3 linked regions of the Arabidopsis thaliana genome follow. The protein of the gene in region 2 purifies or fractionates together with the protein of the main gene of each other region. This does not show direct contact. Each region holds a gene or a part of one and is shown on either strand. Other genes may lie near its edges.

What was found. Proteins that work in one complex are often made in the same cells at the same time.
Region 1: the proteins of CRLK1 (region 2) and PAPP2C purify together in Arabidopsis thaliana (affinity purification with mass spectrometry, with the first as the bait; one study listed by BioGRID). This does not show direct contact.
Region 3: the proteins of CRLK1 (region 2) and CAM2 purify together in Arabidopsis thaliana (affinity purification with mass spectrometry, with the first as the bait; one study listed by BioGRID). This does not show direct contact.

What each region holds. Positions count from the first base shown.
Region 1 is NC_003070.9:7,870,068-7,877,753, reverse strand, and holds PAPP2C (phytochrome-associated protein phosphatase type 2C), read right to left. Parts: upstream 3,888-7,686; 5' UTR 3,683-3,887; intron 3,601-3,682; 5' UTR 3,519-3,600; coding exon 3,483-3,518; intron 3,352-3,482; coding exon 3,094-3,351; intron 3,024-3,093; coding exon 2,747-3,023; coding exon of another isoform or gene 2,700-2,746; exon of another isoform or gene 2,654-2,699; coding exon 2,499-2,653; intron 2,396-2,498; coding exon 2,258-2,395; 3' UTR 1,923-2,257; downstream 1-1,922. Other genes in the region: AT1G22290 (14-3-3 family protein), read left to right, coding at 1-301, 381-447, 555-631, 728-780, 857-924; ZYP1b (Myosin heavy chain-related protein), read right to left, coding at 5,688-5,789, 6,139-6,201, 6,268-6,351, 6,424-6,504, 6,621-6,692, 6,838-6,924, 6,993-7,103, 7,188-7,295 and 1 more. UniProt on the Arabidopsis thaliana protein: Involved in the regulation of phytochrome signaling. May regulate phytochrome-interacting factor 3 (PIF3) through the dephosphorylation of phytochrome.
Region 2 is NC_003076.8:22,175,806-22,184,382, forward strand, and holds CRLK1 (Protein kinase superfamily protein), read left to right. Parts: upstream 1-3,894; 5' UTR 3,895-4,088; intron 4,089-4,125; exon of another isoform or gene 4,126-4,631; 5' UTR 4,632-4,674; coding exon 4,675-4,991; intron 4,992-5,216; coding exon 5,217-5,370; intron 5,371-5,599; coding exon 5,600-5,726; intron 5,727-5,907; coding exon 5,908-5,993; coding exon of another isoform or gene 5,994-6,079; coding exon 6,080-6,151; intron 6,152-6,232; coding exon 6,233-6,436; intron 6,437-6,530; coding exon 6,531-6,893; 3' UTR 6,894-7,023; downstream 7,024-8,577. Other genes in the region: AT5G54585 (uncharacterized protein), read left to right, coding at 1-223, 647-704; RPL24 (Translation protein SH3-like family protein), read left to right, coding at 7,241-7,354, 7,855-7,893, 8,067-8,297, 8,386-8,577. UniProt on the Arabidopsis thaliana protein: Required for cold tolerance, via the activation of MAP kinases activity. Phosphorylates and activates MEKK1 in response to cold in a calcium-dependent manner.
Region 3 is NC_003071.7:17,136,370-17,143,315, reverse strand, and holds CAM2 (calmodulin 2), read right to left. Parts: upstream 3,088-6,946; 5' UTR 2,938-3,087; coding exon 2,826-2,937; exon of another isoform or gene 2,498-2,825; coding exon 2,124-2,497; 3' UTR 1,923-2,123; downstream 1-1,922. Other genes in the region: AT2G41120 (DUF309 domain protein), read left to right, coding at 897-1,286, 1,373-1,520, 1,615-1,862; AT2G41105 (uncharacterized protein), read left to right, coding at 4,157-4,261, 4,311-4,385, 4,830-4,865; TCH3 (Calcium-binding EF hand family protein), read right to left, coding at 3,910-4,271, 4,373-4,642, 4,743-5,009, 5,110-5,185; AT2G41090 (Calcium-binding EF-hand family protein), read right to left, coding at 6,698-6,836. UniProt on the Arabidopsis thaliana protein: Calmodulin mediates the control of a large number of enzymes, ion channels and other proteins by Ca(2+). Among the enzymes to be stimulated by the calmodulin-Ca(2+) complex are a number of protein kinases and phosphatases.

The sequences.
Region 1 (7,686 bases), on a different chromosome or scaffold from region 2:
AGAAAGCGATGAAGAAAAGTGTTCAGCTTAAAGCGGAGCTATCAGCAAAGGAGAGAAATCTTGTATCAGTGGGGTACAAGAATGTGATTAGCGCAAGGAGAGCTTCATTGGAAATACTATCATCCATTGTGCAAAAGGAAGAGTCAAAAGGAAATGAGGAAAATGTCAAGAAGCTTAAGAATTATCGAAACAAGGTTGAAGATGAGCTTGCCAAAATTTGTAATGACATCCTGTCCGTCATCAATAAGCAACTCATTCCATCGTCTACCACTGTGGACTCCTCTGTTCTTTTCTACAATATGTGAGCGAAAATGTGTTGTTGTGGTGCTTGAGGCGCAAAAGTGTTGCACTGTTTTGGCTATACTTTATGTTCTTTCCAGGCTGGCAGACTTCAGTTCTAATGCTGAAAGCAAGGAAGCTACTGATCAGTCTCTTGATGCATATAAGGTCCTTGGCTCATGTTTGTTTTTGTGCCTTGAGCTCGGAACAAAATAAACTGAACAATATGTTTTGTGTTTTGGTAATGGCAATGTTGGTTGTTGTTACTGCTGCAGAGACTGGTTTGGTACCAACAGTTCCAGCTATACATGACTTTGAATTGGACTTCTGTTTTCTTAAACTCTCCTGAAAGGTTCCTTTGCTTACATGCATACATATGATTATTTAATGAAATCGGTGTGGTGTTACTTACTAACAGTCTGAATCAGTGAAACTGTGTGTTGTACAGTGCATACCAATTGGCAAAGCAAGCGTTCGATGATGCAATTAATGAATTTGACAGTAAGTGATGAATCAAACAAGGACATGACTCTTATTATACAGCTACTCAGAGACAATCTCAACATGTGGACTTTAGACCTCACAGAAAGAGAGGAGGTAATCTTTTTATTTCCCTATCTGCCTCCTCTGATGATAGATAGATAGTTTCCTTTGGAATCAATATAAGCCATTTTTGTGAAATTTTGTTAGTTCTTGTACTGTTATGAGGAGCCTAAACTTTGATTCGAATGTTAATGCTTGGGAACATATTTACGGCTTTGTGGATCTTTCATTGCTTAAACGCCAAGTTGTTGAATTCAAGCAAATTTTGTTGCAAGAAACCAATTAGCATACTAGTTTCTTGTTCTCTTCCAAATCATACACTCAACTTTTTTTTTGTTTCCTCTTATCCAAAAGTGGTGATGAGCCCCAAGAAAAAGGTATGAAAAAGCCAGTTATGTCAAAATTTAAGCTACTTGAAGATTATATTTTTCATTTTGGCATTGCTAATGGAGTTACTATACCATTGCAGAACTGAATCTTGAATCCTATGCGAGAAAAGAAACGACTCTTGATGCATATCCTGAGTCAAGATGGGTTGGAATCTGTTTTACACTTAACTTGCTTCTCCTGTGTTGAAATTTCAGAATATAAGACACCATTTGGGGTTTTGTTTGTCGGAGTATACCTAAAGAATCATTGCTTGTCACCGACGTTTCTTCATTCTTTCTTTTTATAGCCAAATGAATACTATAATCCCATTGGAGCACTGAGGAAGAAAACTCGAGAATTGCTTGGTACATCTTCCTCTATAGCAGTTGCAAACAGTTCCACAAATAAAACACAATGAAAGTTTTTCAACGCCTAAGCTAAGTCTTTCAATAATGAAACCCTTTTCAGTGATAAATTTCTGCAACTATTTGCAACATCTCAATCTCTGAAAGACTTTGCTTAGAATTATAACAACAAAACACAACCAAATTGTAGTAAACTGATCCATCTTATTTTTAATCCTTCCAAGGATAATGACATTTACCAACAACAATGATAAGGATAACTTTTGCTTATTTTGTTTGGCAATGTAAATCTCTTACAAATAGCAAACACTTTGGTTAACATATATATATGCAAACCTAATCCAAAAGTACTTTCACATATTTGTAAAAACATCCTAATATTTATATCCCGATGATTAAATATAACAAATCAACCAATTATAATAACAAAACCCCCCATCACCCACCACAAAACTCCATTCCCCACTCCTTTTTTGTTCATTTTCTTATCGTCTTTAAAACACACAATTTACACAACGAACGCACATAAGCTATAGCAAGAAGCAGCTAATCACAAATTGAAACTTAGACCGGTCCTAAACCGAACCAGAATCATCAGAGTCGAATCCAGTGAAAACAAGCTTTTTTGTCCTGATGAATCTTTGATTGAAATTATTATATAAGGAACCCATCTCCCCGTAAGTATCCTTTCAGAGAGTTTGTCATCTGAATCGGACCACGACACAAGATATGTCGTCTTTACTCTCTCTTCTCAATGCTTCAGCTGTTAATTCCTTTGCCGCTTTCTGTGGATCTTTCACTCTTCTCGCTATCTCCATTGCCTCTTCATTTGTCATCACCTATTAACATGATCATTACAACAAAACAATCAGACAAAAATGGTCTCAAAACACTCATTTAACAAGAGATGAATAATATATACAGAGAACAAGCCATTATTACCTTCCAGATGCCATCACTAGCCAAGAGAAGAACATCTGTCTGGCTATCTACAGTAGCTTCTTTTATGTCAGGCTCTGAACTCAAGTGTGTCTTAAGTCCCTTATCTCCAAAAGCACGAGACACAGCTAATTGACCATTCACCCGAGGAACATCACCTGTTATTAAAACATCACAGCCACATCATCCTCCTTGTCAACAAAATCATTCTATCTTCATTAAACATTCAATACTCAAAATAAGTTCTTTACCTGGTAGATTGGATACAAATCCACCTCTATCTTCAATACTCGACCTTTCAGTACGAGGCTCATGATCTGTACTCATCTGCGTTATAGCGCCACCATGAGAAAGAACAGCTCGTGAATCACCAACATTAGCTATCCACAACTTTCTCCCATTAATCAATATAGCAGTCACAGCAGTAGAACCACCACGACCCAAGTCAGAACTATTCGATAGAATCGCTTGGTCCGTCTTCTCATAAGCTTTTGCAATAGACCTTCGAGGATCAACCCAAAACTCTCCCTGCATAAAAAAAACAATACACTTAAAGCTATGCACATGTTCATTAACCCAAGAACAGTAGAACAGTAACCTTTTTTTTTGTTTTTACCTCCTTAAGGATATTGGAGAAGAGACGTTTCTGCAAGTAAGCAGGGACACTATCACCCATATGACCATCATAAATAGCAAAAAGACCCAATTCATGGTCTTGGATGTTGATAAAGTTAGCAACATGATAATCTTCCATTGGATGGTTAGCTTTTCCTTTCACTAGACTAAAACCATACTTGATCATCCCTTCATCACTTCTTCCTTTACCTGATCGTGATGATGATTGTCCTCCCACAACCTAAAAACCCACACCAATAAGATCAATCAAAACACAAAGCTCTCAGATCTTTCACTTCTAAGACAAAATTATTTCATCTCATAACAAAAAAAAAGAAATTGTTATATAGCCAAAAATTCGATAATCATTACCTCAGAAGCGGAAGTGAAGCAACAAAATTTTCCCATTTTTTTTGAATCGAAGAAAATTTCTTCGATTTTTGCAACCTAATTGAAACTTGCGGAGATTTATTCAAATAAACAAAACAATCTGCAGAAAAAATAAATTCAGAAAGCGAAATTAAAATCTTCATTGAGCAGCTGGGAGATGATAAGAAAGAGGGGATTTTTACCTGGAAATTAAAAACCCTAATTTGGTTTTCAATTTTTTTTTGTTTGAGGTACTCTCAACGATAAATCTACAAAGTCTATGCGACGAAGTCTTCGCTCTCTTTTCGTTTATGTCTTTTTCCTACGCGAAATTATATATATATATATATATATTTTTATTCAGTTGAAAGAAAAATAAAAATTGAAAGCTATCTGTATTTTTTTAATATTGCATCAACGTCCTTCATATATATAAATATTTACTTTACGCCTCATATGAATGAATTTTAAATTGTGACTATAATAGATTTCGATTATTTAATTTGGGTAACAATAATTGCTTAACCTTTAAATTGTAGTTTTGTTTAGGTGATGAATTTGTAACATACATTTGCGTTGTATTAAAGTAAAATGAGGGTGTAGATATGACAATAGGAACTTTGGGATAAAAGTGAGAGGTTTTGGAATTTTGGGGGTGAAGGTTAAGATAAATTAGGGGAAGAAAAGGAGAGAGAGAAAGGGATGGAGCAAAAAGGAGTGATCTGGTCAAAGAAAATAAAAAAGCTGCCATTTAAAAATTTTAGTCTTGGCTATTTGGCATGTTGACTTCCTCTTCCTTTACATTTATGTCATCTCCTTAACAATCCCTATTTTATTTTTTTATATGCGTTTTTACTATTCAGACATGAAAAAATGTGCGAAACTATTTAGAAAATTCATATATATTTTATTCCTGATATACAAATATCCAGAAAAATAAAACACAATCCTTTGGTTTTTGATATTTATTAGGACGTATTCCGCAAGAGTTTTATTTAATATTACAAAATATAAAACATTTTTGCTTAGAGAGATTATTATGAGTAAGTAAAAAGTAAATGAATGTTTCGTTTTCACACAAATTAATGCATGAAATTAGCAGTTTCGTAGAAAAACATATCCATTTTGGATTTGATGGCATAACGATTGCGGTAATTTTTACATTTTCTTTATACAACTAAAAGTTCAAGAACAATTATGAAGTGCTTAATTGAGTAAAATATAAAATATCAGGTCTCTTCCCCATTACCAGAAATCTCAAAGTATCAACGAATGCGACAAGAAAGTGGAAAGGGTCAAAGGCTTCGACGCGTTTACTAGCCATCTTTTTGTTTCTCCATTTAATGTGATTCGCACACATTTCATGACTTTTTGACCCTTAATCTAGTTTATTTAATCAAACACACATCAATTTAGCTACCTTAGCTTCCTTATTTATACATACAATTTTGATTGCTAGCCTAAAACAAACGATTTGTTGCTTAAAATAATAAACTTGTTCGTCTAAACCTCCGTGATATGTTCCTCTAAATTAGGTTCATAGGCCCCTAGTCATGTACAGTAGAACATCATGTACTCATTTTCAATTGTGGGCCTTTTATGAGCCCATTTTCTTACTATGTAAAGTACTGGTACTGTATGTTAATGAGCCCAACAGCACAAGAATGTGAAACTAGATACAATGTATGAGTTTGTATATATATACAAATACTGATAGTTTTATTCTATGCTTATATGAATGGCTTCTGATCTACATGATTTGTACTGCTTTCCACTTTCTTCCTTGTGATTCTTCTCAGGTCTCAGAGAGCACTCCGCTTGGAATCAGTGTTCTGTGATGCCAATAATTCAACAGAAAACTGTTAACCTCAAGAGCAAATGAACCACTAATAACACCAACGTATACCAAATCTACAAATATAGAAACAGCTATAAAGATGACAAATAGATTTAACACTTTTGATTGATGCAAAGGTTTTATCAATGTTTTTTGAAGACAGCTACTGGATCAGAAACAGATTGCGGATTATTTCTCTTAACAACATTTACAAGTTTTTGAAACACTAGGATATAGTTATTCCACGTTATAAAAATGAGATAGTTGATGCAAGCAGCAAAATGTTTATGTAAATCGGTGAGCAAGCTTTCACAAATAGTATGTATCTGAAAGTGAGAGAGAGATAGGGAACTGACTTTGTGTGGTAGACTTCAATCAAATGCATAGGGATCATCAGCATATGGGTTGAGGGAACCTTCTGAAAACAAGTCTCCAATATTTGCAGAGTGAGGATGATCGGCCATTGCTGTTTCCTGCGCTTAAAAGACCAGAATAATATGCAGTTAAATCAGAAATGTTTTTAGAAACCTAGCATCATCCATAACTTCTTGGCCTGAAAACTTCTACATTATACTCGCATAGACATAAAGCTTGGTTAAGCAGCCCTAAGTCTGACCTCCTATTGTTCCATTATGTCTGTCAGTTAATCTATTTTACTATTAAGGAAGGTGTGACGAAATGAATATAAAACGTTTTGTGAAAATATGATTTTTCTCCTATCATCAAATCTACTTTTTTACTCTCTGCTTCAACACTAGTTGACTGATGTGAGGGTTTGTTCATTTCAAAGCATCAGTTAAAAGTAGTGTATTTGTATTTTACCTTCGCGATGATTGTGGGGGTCATCAATTTGGGTGTCAACCTAGTACTGCGTCTTTGTGGCTCCTGTTGCCAAACAATGTAAAGTTAGATATCTTGAATATGTCTATATAGCAGGATGGACAAGCTGACCTGAAACATTGTTGTCTGTCTTGTTTTTCTCCGTTTAGGTATCCTCCCATTATTCGTTTCAACCTCATACTCACGATGAGTTACCTGCCAAGTTGAACCACAAGCCAAACAATGAGGTTGATTTCAATGTAAAAATGCAAAGCTTCATATGTTTACCTTGCTATGATGCTTTGGATTTGTCGCTTCCTTCAATATATTTGACACAGATGTTACTTTTGCCTTTACAAAAGGAGATTCCTGCGTTTGATGATCCATGAGAAAGTGTTAATGTGTTGCCTTGACGAAGCGGAAACGAAAAGAAGAAGAAGATATTTATGATTCTCTGACTGTTCGTCATAATTTTCTGTCCTCACCGTTATATGCTCGCTTCTCTTATTACCACCAAGACGAGATTCTTTCACTTTGACCGACGAATGTGAATAGTCCTACAAGGTAATAAACACCATGTCAATCTCTTACCCTGTTTACGTTATGAAAATAAAGAAAGGAGAACTTGCATTGTCAACTGAATGTTGTATATCTTAAAGTGTATAGATAACGATTAAGGAAGAAAATGAAGTCCAATCTAACCTTGTTTGAGTTTACTTCTTGCTCCTCAGGTGGATTGTCACTCATCACCTTCCACTGTAACTGCACCAAAGCTCTTTGCCTCTCTTCCTGCAAGGTTAGCCCATAAGTTAAACTCATAAAGATTCATCTTATAATGGATCTTAAAAAGCACTTACTTTTTTCCTTTGAAGATCTAATTCTTCTTGCAGCTTCTTGCAGTCATCTTCATACTGACACTTGAATGCTTTCAACTGAGCATCATGCTCACTCTTCAGAGCTGTTATCCTCTGGATAAATATACAAAATATTCGAATACCAGAGGCTCCTTATTCTTTCATCTGTTTGAGCTATGAATTTATATCTGTGTGTACCTCTTTCAGTTCATTTTCAGCCTGAATCTGATTTTGTCTCAGTTCCTGGTCATACTTGGCTTTGAGATTGAGCTCCTTACTCTCGTGCTCCTCCCGAATATTGAGAATCTGGGGAACACGCAGCTTTTCTGAGTTAATATGCAAAGTAATTTTAACTTCCATGCTGTCAGAAATAAACTTCCAAACAGATAATGCATACAAGAAATACAAGAACGTTTCGGATTTGATTAATTCATTCAAAGCTCATTTGGTGATGGTCAGAACCATCAGATATTTTGGAATTTATTGATGCTATCAGACAATTGGAACAATGCATGAATGCAGTAACATGATAAGATGTGGTAGCTTTAGCTTAGAGATTCGCAAAGAAGCCTTGTCCAAAAAGTTCATAAATCATTTCCAACATACCCGAGAAGAATGTTCCTCTTGAATGGTTAGCAGTTGCCTCTTTGATTCTTCTTTGCAATCTGAGAGTCCTTTATCATATTTAGTGGACAGC
Region 2 (8,577 bases):
GGAGGCGACGGAAACGCGTTAGAGTGGCTGGTCAACCTGGACAAGTGGCAGAGTGGAGACCGTCTCTTAGCGTTATCTCCGAGAACAAGCCGGCGATAACGAAGATATCAGAAAAGAACGAAGAAAAGAAGAAAGTCCGTCGGAAAAGTGAAGGCAACGGCGGCGGAGACGCATCATCACGGTCCGGTGGTGGTCATATTCGTTTCCGTAGTGACGATTTCGGGTAATTTATATGATACGTTTGTGTTAATTAAGGTTAGGGTTATAGGGTAGTCAATTAAAAATTTTCTTTTTTACAAAGCTTAATAATATGTTTAGTATCTAGTTGTAGTATTAAAAAATTATTCTAACCTCGTCAATGTAATTTATAAAGATAAGTATGGAGACTATGAAAAATAAGAAGAAGATAATGATATGGTAGTTAAGATGCAATTTTGTGGATAAAGATTCGATATAGTTGAGAAGTCAACATCAGTATGTCTTATTGTTTATTTGCGTAAATAGAAGAAGACGTAAATCGCAAGGTAACCGTAATAGTGAAAATTGATGTTTACAAAATGGCAGAAGAACATGTAGCTAGTGGCTTATATATATAACGCATACTAATGTTTTTGACGTTTTTAAAATTGTTTTTTGGGTTTTGCAGGAGAAATGCTTTCGAACCGGTGATTCCGGCATTCTCGCCGACTCCGTTCATGTTTTGAGTTTAAGTTTCTGGTGAAGTTTATGTGTATAATATATTGATAAATATGTTATTGTTAATGGAAAGATGTAGCATTAATGTATATACTTCTTTGATTTTACTACCACTGAAAACTTATGCTTATGCAAAACTCTCAAACGAACATAGTTTGGGCTATGCAACACGTAGAGTACCATTTATACCAATATGGCAATATGACTAAGTTATGTCACAGTACTGAATCAACGGAACATACAGTTTAAATAGATATCGAATGCCAACTTATTTTCAATTCTTGGAAATAAAGAATAAACTTGCAGAAAATGACGATTTACAAACAAATTATTGTATTACGACTCGTAATTTACGAGGAAAAGAGTAACACGACTTATTCTTTGTTTCAAATATCAATCACTACAAATATTTACAAAGTTGTTAAGGAAAAAAAATCATTAACTGGCAAACTAGCCAATTTAGAAAATCGTTTTTCCAAATTTATAATATTTGCAAGCTAGCCTTACAATGTTTGGTAATAACGAAAATCTCGCATCCAATATTTTAATTAGGTAGTGTTAATATATAAATTTGGCTATTTAATGAATGTAATGTATGATTTAAAGAAACTCATTTAAGTCCGGAAATTTTGTTTTATTTAGTTATCATTATATTGATTTTGAATAGTCCGTTCAAAATTTTGGTTTATTTGCAAACATGTCAGATTTTCGAAACATATTGACATGTACAAACTTATTGATTTGAATGTGGTTGATTTATGTGTTTATTCTCCATCCAAATCTTTGTTCGACTTTGAATTTTGAAAGTGTATTGTGAGTGTCACAGTTCGTTTCTATAGTGAATTATTTTATATAGCCGTATTATGGGCACGACTAACAGCAAAAGGCCCATTTAATTATTTTGGTGAGTTCCTTATTCGACGTCAATCCAGAAGAACCAAATAGACTATATACTTATTATTAGGTTTGCATGATCAAAGAAAAGACTTGTACCTTAATTTTCTCAAATTCTAATACCCTAATATATTACTACTTACTAGTGTACTAAAGAAGTCGCTAACGCGTTTTTTTGTATCTTTAATCACATTCTCACATGTTGGCTTATCTTTTTTTTCCTTCGTAATCAATAAATCTCCAAATATATAAATGCAACACATACGAACGACTATGTATTCTATACATGGAGTGGAGACATGAGAACGTGGGGTTGTACCGTGCACGTGGAGAGGACATGTCTTGCTTAATGATTATGCGACCATGGAACAAGTAAACTTTGAACTTGGGGAATATTTGCTCTCAAGTTATCAAATTCATCTTTTTTCCCTCCAAAATCCCAAATATAATTTAAGATATCTTTTCTTCTTTTAATTTCCCTTTCTATTCTCATGAAAATAACATATAATTAATCTACGCAAAGAAACATTAAAATCTCGATAAAATAACAATATCCGATTAATGTATACATATAAATTATCTCTCTCACACATGTTGTTACATATAAGGCGGTCAAATACAATAACATGGAGGATCTTCACGTGTTCTCTTGGTTGTCTTGGCTTGGCTTAAGCCACTCTGTATAATCTAAGAAGTGAATTGTAATGTTTTTTTCTTTCAATTCTTTAACCTCTACTGCATTTGATATTTCGTAAATTTTAATCCTAAAGAGAAATATAGTTGAAAAAACAACTTTACACGACGTTGTTTTCCGATGAACTTTACTCATTAACAAATTTAAAAACATGTTATTTGTTTTGCCTTCATCAAGTGGATTGTAAAATGAACAATTCAACTAGTTATTGCTTATAGTTGTTTTGTTAGCATAAAAACATAGCAGCTAGTTCAACTCTTAAAATATAAAAAATAGTATTATTGAAGTGTAAGCAGAATTAAGTGTCGTTTTACGTCAATCATTTGTGTGCCAAATTGTTTCGTTCCGTGCGCTGGTGGTGAATATTTTTGTCCAAGTATTTAGAATTACTTGCGGCAGTAATCCCGGGATTTTATCTTCGTTTTATCTTCATTTTAGTGCACACAACGTAAGCAATATTTTACTAAATTTTCGAATTAGTGTTAATCATCGCTTAAATCAATAAATGTCTAGAACCATGTCAGTAGATTTAAAACAAGTTAAACATACTCAAAGTTGATTTCACGAAACTGTTAGAATGGTGTGGATAATTCGGCAATAAATTCATGTCATCTCGAATTAATTTCATTGTCTTATTTTGTCTATAGCAGTTACTTTTTGTTTGAAAATTTTATCTTATACTTATTAGGTTCATTTATTTGGATGAAAATTAGCTCCAACTAATAATCTTGATGAATGTGACATTAGGTAAGTTAGGTGTATATATGTAACTGCTTACTACTAGTTATAGACTTATAGTTCCACATCTTATCTTATCAATCTCAACTAATAACTAATCTCCAAACTCTCAAATGATAAGATGAATTTGATATGTGGATAACATAATCTGTATCATCATCAATCTGTAAAATAATTACTCCATTGAATTGTTTTATAATACTCGAGGGTATACCAAAAGTACAAAGACCGCGATACAGGTAATCAAACCCTGGAAAATTCGTCGCGGAAAACCAAAAGGTCAGACTAATAAGAATGTACGATCTAAAAAGAATAAATTCATCCAATCATATTAAGCATAGTCATATTCGTGGGGTCCATTATTCACACGACACCAACACAAATTTATATTTCTCCTTTATATAATTTTTATTTATTTATATGGAAATACACCTTTCTATTTTACTTATCTGATATCTGAACTACCACTTTTCTTTTTTTTTTACATTTCTTTCACATTAATATAATCATATTTAGTCAATAGTCAAAAACTCAAAATTAGTAGAAAAATGATTTATTTTATTACCATGAGCTTGTTACTCTTTTCTATATAAAGACACAATTTATTGTAATATAGAGTATAGTACATAAAAATTAAAATTATGTAATCAATTGTTAACATAAAATCATCACACAATCTAATTATAGTAGGAGTAGTAACGTAAATTTAATTAAACAACCAATTAAAGAAAAGAAGAAAAATGAAAAAAGAAGCTTTCCGTTTCATTGTTTTAGCTTTTAATTTTGAATAAGAAGTTGTTACATTTGTAAAAACAAATTTTATATTTAACTTTTAACTTTTTTTTATTCTAACACATTACAACATAAATAAAATAAAAAAGATAATTTTTGCTTGAAGTAGAACCTCTCTCTCAGTCTCTTTCTCACTATTCTTTGGATTCTTTTCTCTGTAATCAAAGCAAAGCTCTGCAAAAATATTTCTCTCCTTTTCTCTTCAAAACTTTCCTTTTTTATGATTCATCTGCTAAAATGCACCAATTTTCTATAATCCTTCACATTTCTCCAGGTAACACATTCGATTCACCTGTTTTTTTTTTTTTTTTGGTCTTCAGCGATTTTTTGTTGTCGTTATTGTGTGTAGTAGGTGTGATTTTTTTTCTTTTCTTCCTGGGGATTTTTGTTGTTTTCGTTGAGAAAGTCTTCTTTGGGGGTTTGGTTGCGCTGAAGGAAGAAGAAGAAGACGAAATAATGGAAAATTAAACAACGAAAATTAGGGAAAATTAGAGAATTAAGAAAGGTTTTATTCAATCGGCGCGTTTCAAAAGTCTACGCGATTCTCGAGATTCATTTTCAAATCCTTCTTCCTCGGGATCTATAGTATAGAGCTTCAGTAATTTTGTCCTCTTGAGGTATTTGTTTGAAGAAGATACGAATTGATTTTTAGCTGAATGAATCCATTTTGGCAGCCAAGCTTTTGTTGAAGAGTTCGATGGTCAACGTTACGCTAATTTCTTATTTGACAAATTAGTTGTTGTCTTCCTCTTCTTCTGACATTGTGCCATTTAACAAATACTTCTTCTCTGATCCATTATTGTTTTTTTGTTTGCAGAGACGTCTAAAGAAGCTTGAAACCATTATTAGAGTATTTGACAATGGAAGGAGAATCCAAAGGATTAATCGTTGGGATCTCACTAGGTTTGGTGATTGGTGTTGTCTTAGCTATCTCAGCTTTGTTCTGCTTTAGGTATCATAGAAAAAAGTCTCAGATTGTGAATAGTGGATCACGAAGAAGTGCAACCATTCCCATCAGAGAGAATGGAGCTGATTCGTGTAATATAATGTCGGATTCGACCATTGGTCCGGATTCACCTGTGAAATCTTCTAAGAATGGGAGGTCTGTTTGGCTTGAAGGGTTTAGTAAGAGGAGTAATGTCATCTCTGCTTCTGGCATTTTGGAATATTCTTACAGGTTTGTCTCTTCCTCTGACAAATCTTAGTTTCCTGATTAGGTTATTATTTTATTGTCTTAACTATACTCAGGACTAGACTTCTCTTGTTATAGTAGTTACTTTGGTTATTATTTCAAAGTTTGAAAGTTCATTAAAAAGGGGAATGCTGTTGTGGATATGAGAAGGTCTTGCATTCTTGGGGTTATATTCCGTTTTTGACATATGGTCTTTGGTGATTGCTTCAGGGATTTGCAGAAAGCGACGTGTAATTTCACGACTTTGATAGGCCAAGGAGCATTTGGACCTGTCTACAAAGCTCAAATGTCTACTGGTGAGATCGTGGCTGTGAAAGTTCTAGCCACTGATTCTAAACAGGGCGAAAAAGAGTTTCAGACAGAGGTAAGATATATCTATGGATTCATTTCCGAAGAACAAGTTAGTGTGTAAAACATGTAGCATTAGGCAGACTTTTAAGCATTACAATAGGCTTTCTGAAATCTCTAATACTCAATTTATTAGTTGTGTCATCTATAAGACAGGCTACATGAATGAACAATCTATATATCTTACTCTCTTAGTATCTGCTTAGTTTCTTGAAAAACTCATCCACTCGCCTTAATCTTTTCAGGTTATGTTATTGGGAAGGTTGCATCACCGTAACCTAGTGAACTTGATTGGATACTGTGCAGAGAAAGGCCAACACATGCTTATATATGTTTACATGAGTAAAGGAAGCTTAGCTTCTCATTTATACAGTAAGTAACTACCTGGTTATACATACCATATTAATCTGCTTGTCACTAAATGAACTGTTAATGCAATGTTGAGCTATTCGGTATCTTTGTAGAACATTTATTGAGTTGATGGTTTAGACTTCACTAAATGATGAGCCTTGGTAAAGATTTGAGATGCACTAAAATGGTACTTTTGATACAGGCGAAAAACATGAACCGCTGAGCTGGGATTTGAGAGTATATATTGCTTTAGACGTGGCACGTGGTCTAGAGTATCTTCATGATGGGGTAAGCTGCTTGCTAAAACCATTCACCATTTTAATGCATCTCTTAAACAACAACTTCAAAACTCATGTTCTAATCAATTGTTCCAGGCTGTTCCTCCTGTAATCCACAGAGATATCAAATCTTCCAACATCTTGCTGGATCAATCTATGAGAGCTCGGGTAAACATATCTTCTTTCTCTTTGAAATCTCAGTCTATTGAACCACCTCAAGTTTCTAATGGTGATCTTCTTTAACTTCAGGTTGCTGACTTTGGCCTCTCCAGAGAAGAAATGGTAGACAAACATGCAGCTAACATCAGAGGAACATTTGGCTACCTCGATCCCGAATACATTTCAACAAGAACATTCACCAAGAAAAGCGATGTCTATGGCTTCGGAGTTTTGCTTTTCGAGCTTATAGCAGGAAGAAATCCTCAACAAGGTCTAATGGAATTGGTTGAGCTGGTAACATAAAACTAAAAAGTCCTCGAAATCTCCAATTGTTTTGTTTGGAGAATTGCATGTAAAGACTAAACGTTTTGTTGTTGTTGATGAACAGGCGGCTATGAATGCAGAGGAAAAAGTCGGATGGGAAGAGATAGTAGATTCAAGATTAGATGGGAGATATGATTTACAAGAAGTGAATGAAGTAGCAGCTTTTGCTTACAAATGCATCTCTCGTGCACCTAGAAAACGTCCTAACATGAGGGACATTGTTCAGGTTTTGACTCGTGTTATTAAAGTGAGACATTGCAGAAAGCGGCAGAAGAATTCTCCGTCGCCGTCTCCACGGCTTCCTCCTCCTCCTCCGATAGTGGAGGAGTCAGAAGGTGAGTTAACTGCAAACGGATCATTACGATCAGAAATTCATCGGAGGGATAATTCCTTGGACAGTAGTATAGCTGAAGACGTGATTTTGTAAACAAAATGAAAAAAAAGTCTCAATTTTTTTAATTATTATTAACTTTTAAAATGTGATTTTGTTTTTCAATTCTTTTGGGTTTTTAGACGCTAGATTGTCTATATTTGTGAATGAAAATTTGTTCTTTGTTTTTTCGTGTTAAAACGAGTTCAAAACTGGAGAACCATATTATATATTTGGGCTATGAAAAGAATTGAATTCAAGGCCCAATTAAAACCTAGCCTAGCCCATTAAGGTTTAGTGATAATACAGTGTCGTTTAATCGTTTATCCAATTTTTATCGTCATCTGTGGAACGGATAGGACGAAGGAAAAAGAAGAAGAGTGAAAGTTGCAGAGCGAGAAAAAATGGCAACCATGTCTGCTCTTCAGAGCTCTTTTACTTCTCTTTCTCTATCTCCCAGCTCTTCCTTCCTCGGCCAGCGTTTAATTTCCCCGATTTCCCTCTCCGTCACTTCTCCGGTAACTTTAATTTTCGATTTCTGGTCAATTCAGGTTTTTAATCATTGTTCAAGCTTTTAGGTTATGTAGTTCACTTGTTTGCGTAATAGATTAGGTTCATGTCTTCGCTTTTCATATCCAAACCCATTTCATCAAGTAACTCTCAAATTGAATCTGTGTTGTTGCTCATTTTAAGTTTGAATTTTGCTTACTGGGATATAAAATTTTGTGCATTGTCTATGTTTAAGTGTAACTACTGAATTGAGATGAAAGTTATGAGGACTTAAAACGTCATCCTTTAGACTGATTGACTAGTTATTGGTTTGGAATCAATGGACTAGTACTTGTAAATGCTATACTTTTTAAACGAACGAAAATGTGCGTGTGATGGCTCACATTGAGTAAAGTGGCTATCTTGTTCATTTGGTTGTGATTTTTTGCATTTTCTTATGAAATGCAAAATAGCTGCAATAGGATATGGTTTCTTTGTTACTCTGCTGATTATTTTATACTCATTGCAGGTCAAGCCCGCTGAGAACCCATGTCTTGTTCTTGCAAAGGTTAGTCCACAGATCCATTACATTAACATTCTGCATTATTCGTTAATATACTAGCTTTGAAACCACAATAATTCTTTAGATTTTGTACACATCAAAAGCAAAAAGGAAAACTGTTGATAGATTCTTTTGAAACAATGAGATTGGAAGATGATTTATGTGTTTTGCGTTTTCAGCTCAAGCGTTGGGAACGAAAAGAATGCAAACCAAACAGTCTTCCGATTCTCCACAAAATGCATGTCAAGTTTGGAGATACAGTCAAAGTAATATCTGGACGCGACAAGGGTAAAATCGGAGAGGTTACTAAGATTTTCACTCACAACAGTACCATTGTGATCAAAGATGTGAACCTCAAAACAAAACACATGAAGAGCCGAGAAGAGGGAGAGCCTGGTCAAATTGTCAAGGTCAGAAATCATAGTTTTGTAGCTTTCCTTTACTTTGCAAGATTGGAGTGATGATTGAAGATTGTGCGAAATGTATTATGCTTTCCAGATAGAAGCACCTATCCACAGCTCAAATGTGATGTTGTATTCAAAAGAAAAAGACGTAGTAAGCCGGGTGGGTCACAAGGTACTTGAAGATGGACAGAAGGTAAGATATCTGATCAAAACAGGGGAACTCATCGACACCATTGAGAAGTGGAAGCTACTTAAGGAGGCTAAGGATAAGGAAACCACCCAAGTT
Region 3 (6,946 bases), on a different chromosome or scaffold from region 2:
TGGGGTTTGTGGAGCTTTCGGTGGGTTCTGTCCTAAAAGATGGATTATATATACGTGAAATGAGAGGGTAGAGAGTGTAGATTATTTTTTTTATTTTTTTTATTTTAGATGTTAAATACTTGATTTTTGTATTTATATATATATTGGTGGGGAAAAAGTTGCTATAGAGTTTGAAATTTTTAGGAAGGGTCCTTAATTAGGTCATTGTCTTGCCACCATCATCATTCTAAATAGTTCTATATGATCCATCAATTGAACTGAAGATACATACGGACTTTTGGGACTATATAGTATATTACTGCATTTCCAAAATTCAAAAATTCAAAAACAAATCTCAAAAAATTGAACATTCTTTAAATCTTTACTTATGAATAATAATGATGTTTTACCACTACCATAATAATGATCCTTTAAGTTATTATGATAAGATACCATTTCTAAGGTATTAAAGATAAACAATAAAAGGCATATCCTGATATGATTTATGCTGCTTCTATCATTGTGTTTTGTCCGGATAAATCTCACACAGTGCAATGCGATAACATAAATTTGTTATTTAACAAAAATTAAATAATATACAGTATTTGTTTTAACTTAATGTCTGGAAAAACTTGAGTATTCAAAAGCCCTAATTTTTTTTTTTTGACAACATAAAAGCCCTAAATAATCAACAAATTTGATAATCATAAGAGAAAGCTACTGCAGAAAAATAATTTACGAATGAGACAACCATATGATATGAGGAAGGCTTCGCCATAAAATATGGGCCTAAATTATATAAAAAATAAGGACCCAAATAGTGGCCCAATTACAAAGTTTTGGTAAAACGGTGACCACAAAACTGGCGCAAGCCAGAACCATGCAGTAGAGACAGAGCTCGACCTTTGACTTTGATAATGGCAGTTTCTTCGAAACATTTCCAGGTTCCTTCATCTTTCACGCTTCCTCCATCTTCTTTCTTCAGCTCCTTAATCCCTTCTTCTCCAATCTCTGTTACTGCTTCAACGATTCGAGCCTCCACAAAATTTAGCTCCATACGCGTCCGTTTCAGTCGAAGATCAATCGTCAGATACAACGACCACGCCGGAGAAGACGAAGAGGATAGTGACGAGGATAAGGAAGAATATTGGAGCTTTGAGGAAGCAGTGACTCTCTTCAACAAGAGGGATTATTACAAAAGTCATGACGCGCTTGAAGCTCTTTGGATTCAAGCAGAGGAACCAACTCGTACCTTAATCCATGGAATTCTTCAATGTGCTGTTGGATTTCACCATCTATTCAACAACGTAAATCTACTCTCCTTTTAACTCCATCTATTGCTCGTTTTCGTTCACGTTTGAGGTAATTTTAGTGAGTGTTTTGGGATTTGAAGAACCATAAAGGAGCGATGATGGAGTTAGGAGAAGGAGTATGTAAGCTAAGGAAGATGAATTTCGAAGACGGACCGTTTCATGAATTCGAGCGAGATGTCTCCGCAGTTCTTGAATTCGTTTATCAAACTCAGCTTGAACTTGCTGCCTGTAAGTTTTGAATTTTGAATTTTTGATTGAGGAAACCATTTAGCAAATTGAACCTAATTGTGACACTCAAGAAATCTGAATTGATTGATGATAGGTTCAGAAGATATGTGTTTGACGATGGATCAATCAGACAGATCGTATCAACTCTTAGGTGGTTATGCAGCTGGAGAGAGTATTTACAGCTTAGAGACTGTGCTTGACTTCAACAATGGAATGTCTGAGACAACTTCTATACTCTTCTCTCCTTTACATTCATCGTCTGAGCCAACTCGGGTTAAGCTCCCTACCCTTACCGCAACCGATAAGCATCTTCTTGCTTCTACATACGACGACAGATTCTAAAGAGAATGATCAATACGAAGATAATAGAAGAAGATCTCATTACTGTTATATTTCAAGAATCAGGTTCTGAACCTGTCAATAACATGAACAATGAGTCATTTAGACAAAAGGTAAAAACACATAACATTCCTGTCTTTTTAACCAGCAAAAACCAGCCATGAATGAAATTTTAGAACAAAGCGAAGGAACATTCTTTATGAAATTACATAAGAAGGTAGTCAAAAAAAAAAAAGGAGAAAGCCGAAGAAGTTGTTTCAATCCTCACTTAGCCATCATAACCTTCACAAACTCTTCGTAGTTGATCTGACCATCACCATCAACATCAGCTTCCTTAATCATCTCATCAACTTCTTCATCAGTAAGCTTCTCGCCGAGGTTAGTCATCACATGTCTCAATTCAGCAGCTGAGATGAAACCGTTCTGGTCTTTGTCGAAAACTCTGAAAGCTTCCTTGAGTTCTTCCTCAGAGTCAGTGTCCTTCATTTTCCTAGCCATTAGGTTCAAGAACTCCGGGAAATCAATGGTTCCGTTACCATCCGCATCAACTTCGTTGATCATGTCCTGAAGCTCAGCTTCGGTTGGGTTTTGACCGAGGGAACGCATCACGGTACCAAGCTCCTTTGTGGTAATGCAACCTACACAAAGTAATCAAAGATTGGTGTTACTACGATGCAAATCCAGAATCAGAACAAATCAATAAAAACTGGTCAAAATACGAATTGAAAACATGAATCATCACTAACACCACAGGGCTGATTCACAAATATTTCATCCGAACTACATAGATCTTTAATTTGAACAAAGGCACAAACAAATCCTTGAATTCAATAATGATTTGGAACATCGAAAACGAAAAGAGTCAATGCGAGGATACGAACAATGGATCCGTCACCACGGTAATCGATACATATCAAAAGGGAACCAAATCAAGCAGAAACTAAATCAGAATTATACGGCCAAGACCTACGATGATAGAGGGAAAGGGAGGATGAAGCATACCATCACCATCCTTGTCGAATAAGCTGAAGGCTTCCTTGAATTCTGAGATCTGATCGTCTGTGAGCTGATCCGCCATTGTTTTTTCTTTTCTTTTCTGTGATTGGAGAAAAAGGGAAAAACGAAAGAGTTTGTGAGACGATTCGTGTGCTACGAATGCGGACTTGAGGCGTTTTATTTACCTGGATTATTGTTAATGTCGGGAAGGACCTCGGTTTGGGGATGAAATTACGAGAATGCCATAAATTTGAGTTTTAAATTTAAGCGCCAGGTTGACATGAGAAGAGATGGATCACACGTTCACGCGGTTTCTACGCGGATCGTTGACTTTGCCATCTCACCTTTTCCTTTCCAGTGAGTCGCCTCCTTTGATTTTCCTTGGTTCGTTGGTTTCTGGTTCCAATTCGTTAGTATTTGTTTTCTCGTTATTGTTAAATGCTGTCTTTTTTAAAAAAAAACATTTATTAGAATTATCAATTGTGAAGTATTCGTTTGGATGGTAAGTGGAGCTGTCGCTACATTTGTCTAAATTATTAAAGATTTTGCTTTTAACTACTACTTTTTAATACTACATTGTCTGTAACATTATATGTTTTTTGGAAGTGCATCGAACGTCCTTGTTTCTGCAATAACAATCACAAAGCAAAAATTTGCATCGGATAAAAACAAATCGAAGAAATACATGCTTATGACAATTGATTAACATGGTAAGATATGAGGCTTAGCTGATTTGATCACTGTATGTGCCAGATCATTAACCGATTTATCATATTAGATCAATTTTTAGTAGTGAGCTACCAGTTTTCAATGATTAGTTCTGCTACGTTTCAATGTTTTTCTCAAAAGATACATTAATACCCCAATTATATTCGATACTGAAACCATATTACAAACTCATTTTAATAAATTGCACACAACTGAAGATGGTAACACACTAACACATGCAATAAATTTATTACATAGAAATTATTGTCATTAGATGAAACGCCTTTTGAGAGAGATCTAACATAATTGTCAGACCCTATTGGCATAAAGTTACTGACGTGTCATTTCAAGATAACAGCGCTTCGAACAAATCTTTAAACCTATCTTTCATGAAGTCGGAAATTGGCGAAGCGATGATATTGCTGGCAACCCCGACCGCTATGTCCCTCTCCCAATTGGTGCCACCAGCTCTGTCATTTCTAGTGTGACGCTGCACTTGACCCTGACCTTGATTCACAACTCTGTACGTTTCTTTCTTAGACTGAGTGTCAATCATTTTACCAGTCATTACACACACAAACTCAGAGAAACTGATGGTTCCGTCACCATCTGCATCCGCTTCGTTGATCATGTCCTGGAGCTCAGCTTTTGTTTGGGTTTCACCAAGGGAGCGCATAGTAGTACGGAGCTCATTCACGGTAATGTAACCTACAAAAAGTAAGCAATGACTTATGTTAGTCATTTCAGTGCTTTGAAGATGATCAGGATCCAATATGTACGATTAGCGAGAAAGGGACGATGAACCATACCATCACCATTCTTGTCGAATACGCGGAAGGCTTCCCTGAATTCTAAGATCTGATCGTCAGTGAGCTGATAATCCACCATTGTTTTTTTAGTGTGACGCGGCGCTTGATCATGACCTTGATTCTTAGCCATTAGGTACAAGAACTCAGGGAAATCGATGGTTCCATCACCATCTAAATCCACTTCGTTCATCATGTCCTGAAGATCAGCTTTTGTCCGGTTTTTACCGAGGGAAAACATCACGGTACGGAGCTCCTTTTTCGTAATGGAACCTACAAAAAGTAATCAAGGACTAGTGTTAGTCATTTCATTGCTTTGAAGATGATCATGATCCAACATTACGATTAAATGGAAAGAGTTGATGAACCATACCATCACCATTCTTGTCGAATAACCTGAAAGATTCCCTGTACTCTGTAATCTGATCGTCAGTGAGCTTATCCGCCATTGTTTTTTTAGTGTGACGCGGCGCTTGATCATGACCTTGATTCTTAGCCATTACGCACAAGAACTCAGGGAAATCGATGGTTCCATCACCATCTAAATCCGCTTCGTTCATCAAGTCCTGAAGATCAGCTTTTGTCGGTTTTTCACCGATTGAACGCATCATGGTACCGAGCTCCTTTTTCGTAATGGAACCTACAAAAAGTAATCAAGGACTTGTGTTAGTCATTTCATTGCTTTGAAGATGATCATGATCCAACATTACGATTAAATGGAAAGAGTTGATGAACCATACCATCACCATTCTTGTCGAATAACCTGAAAGATTCCCTGTATTCTGTAATCTGATCGTCAGTGAGCTTATCCGCCATTGTTTTTTTTGTTTTCTGTGATGACTGAAAGAAGAGTTTGTGAGACAATTTGTACTACGAACCAGGACTTGAAGCCTTATATAATAGTACCCGAATTATTTGAAATGACGGCTATATCCTCAAACTTTTCCACGTTCACGCAATTTCTACGCAGGATCGTTGTCTGCCATGTCAGCTTATCCTTTCAAGTGTGAGTCGCCTCCTTTGACTGGCAATTACTTGGTTGGTTCCTTCTTCCAACTTGTTTTTTTTTTTTTTTTTCATTTATTTGAAAGAAACATTTATTTACAATGGAATTTTGGATGGGTGAGTGGACATTTGCCTAATTTATATTTTAGGTTATAGTTTTCTTATACTGACTCCGAAGGAGTGTCCTTATTTATGCAAAACTAAATAAATCATAATAGAGAAAACACTTGCATAAGATAAAAATGAATCGAAGAAATACAAGCGTATGACAATTGATTAGCACATGTTTAGTAAAGTGTTGTTGTTGAAGTTAACGAACGTTACCAATGAAATCTGATCTGAGGGATTCCACAAGTGCATTCTACTTGAGAAAGAGCAGAGAAGTTTCTACATCCTGAATATTCCTGATTTAACATCTCTGCTGTGGAAGGAATTCGCAAGACAAGTGTGTGGAAGGTTAGAAGAAACTACACAAACGACCAAAAACATGGTACATAAGAAATAACGAGAAAGACCACAGAAGTTTCTACCTTGCGGGGATGGCTTGAGCAAGTAAAGTTGACAGAAAACCACTTCCTGTGCCCGACTCAAGAATCACGGGCAGGGGCAATCTCAAGGTAGACTAGAAAGCTACTACTACCCGCCGCAATGTAAAGAATCTGAGTCTTGTGACCTGTTTCCATATGACCCAACATGCCACATGTACTGCATACAAATTTACCCTTGTTGCTTTGGATTTTGGGCCAGCGAAATTACACGGGTACAAAATAAGAAAAGCCCATATCGAAGACATGTTATCCAAGTTTTCTGATATTGAACATGCAGTAATTTTCCACACATTGTAGTCCAAATGGGTCAAAGGGCGTCCTTTGTTTTGCTCAAAACACTTGGGTTATCGAAATTGTAGACGTGTGTTTTCAATGTTGCAGGGCAGGTTGGTGCGAGGCATGTCATTATTCATTAGATGAGTCCTTATAAGAGTCTTGAAGAACTCTGGGACGGTGAGATATGAGGCTTAGCTGATTTGATCACTGTATGTGCCAAATCATTAACCGATTTAGATCAATTTTTAGTAATGCTACCAGTTTTCAATAATTAGTTCTGCTACGTTTTAAATGTTTTTCTCAAAAGATACATTGATACCCCAATTATATTCGATACTGAAACCATATTACAAACTCATTTTAATAAATTGCATGCAAGAAAAGATGGTAACACAATAAATTTATTACATAGAAATTATTTTCAAAGATCAAACGCCTTTTTAGAGAGATCTAACATACCAGCCAGACCCTAATGGCATAAAGTTACTGATGTACCATTTCAAGAAAACAACGCTTCGAACAAATTTTTGATGAAGTCGGTCATTGGCGCTGCGATGATATTTTTGGCAACCCCGGCCGCCAAGTCCCTCTCCAAAGTGCCACCAGTTGTGTCATATTTAGTATCATGACCTTGATTCCTAGCCATACACACAAGAACTCAGAATGAAATTTAAGAACAAGAGAGGAACATTCTTTATGAAATTAGATAAGAGGTAGTAAAAAAAGGGGAAGCGGAAAAGTTGTTTAA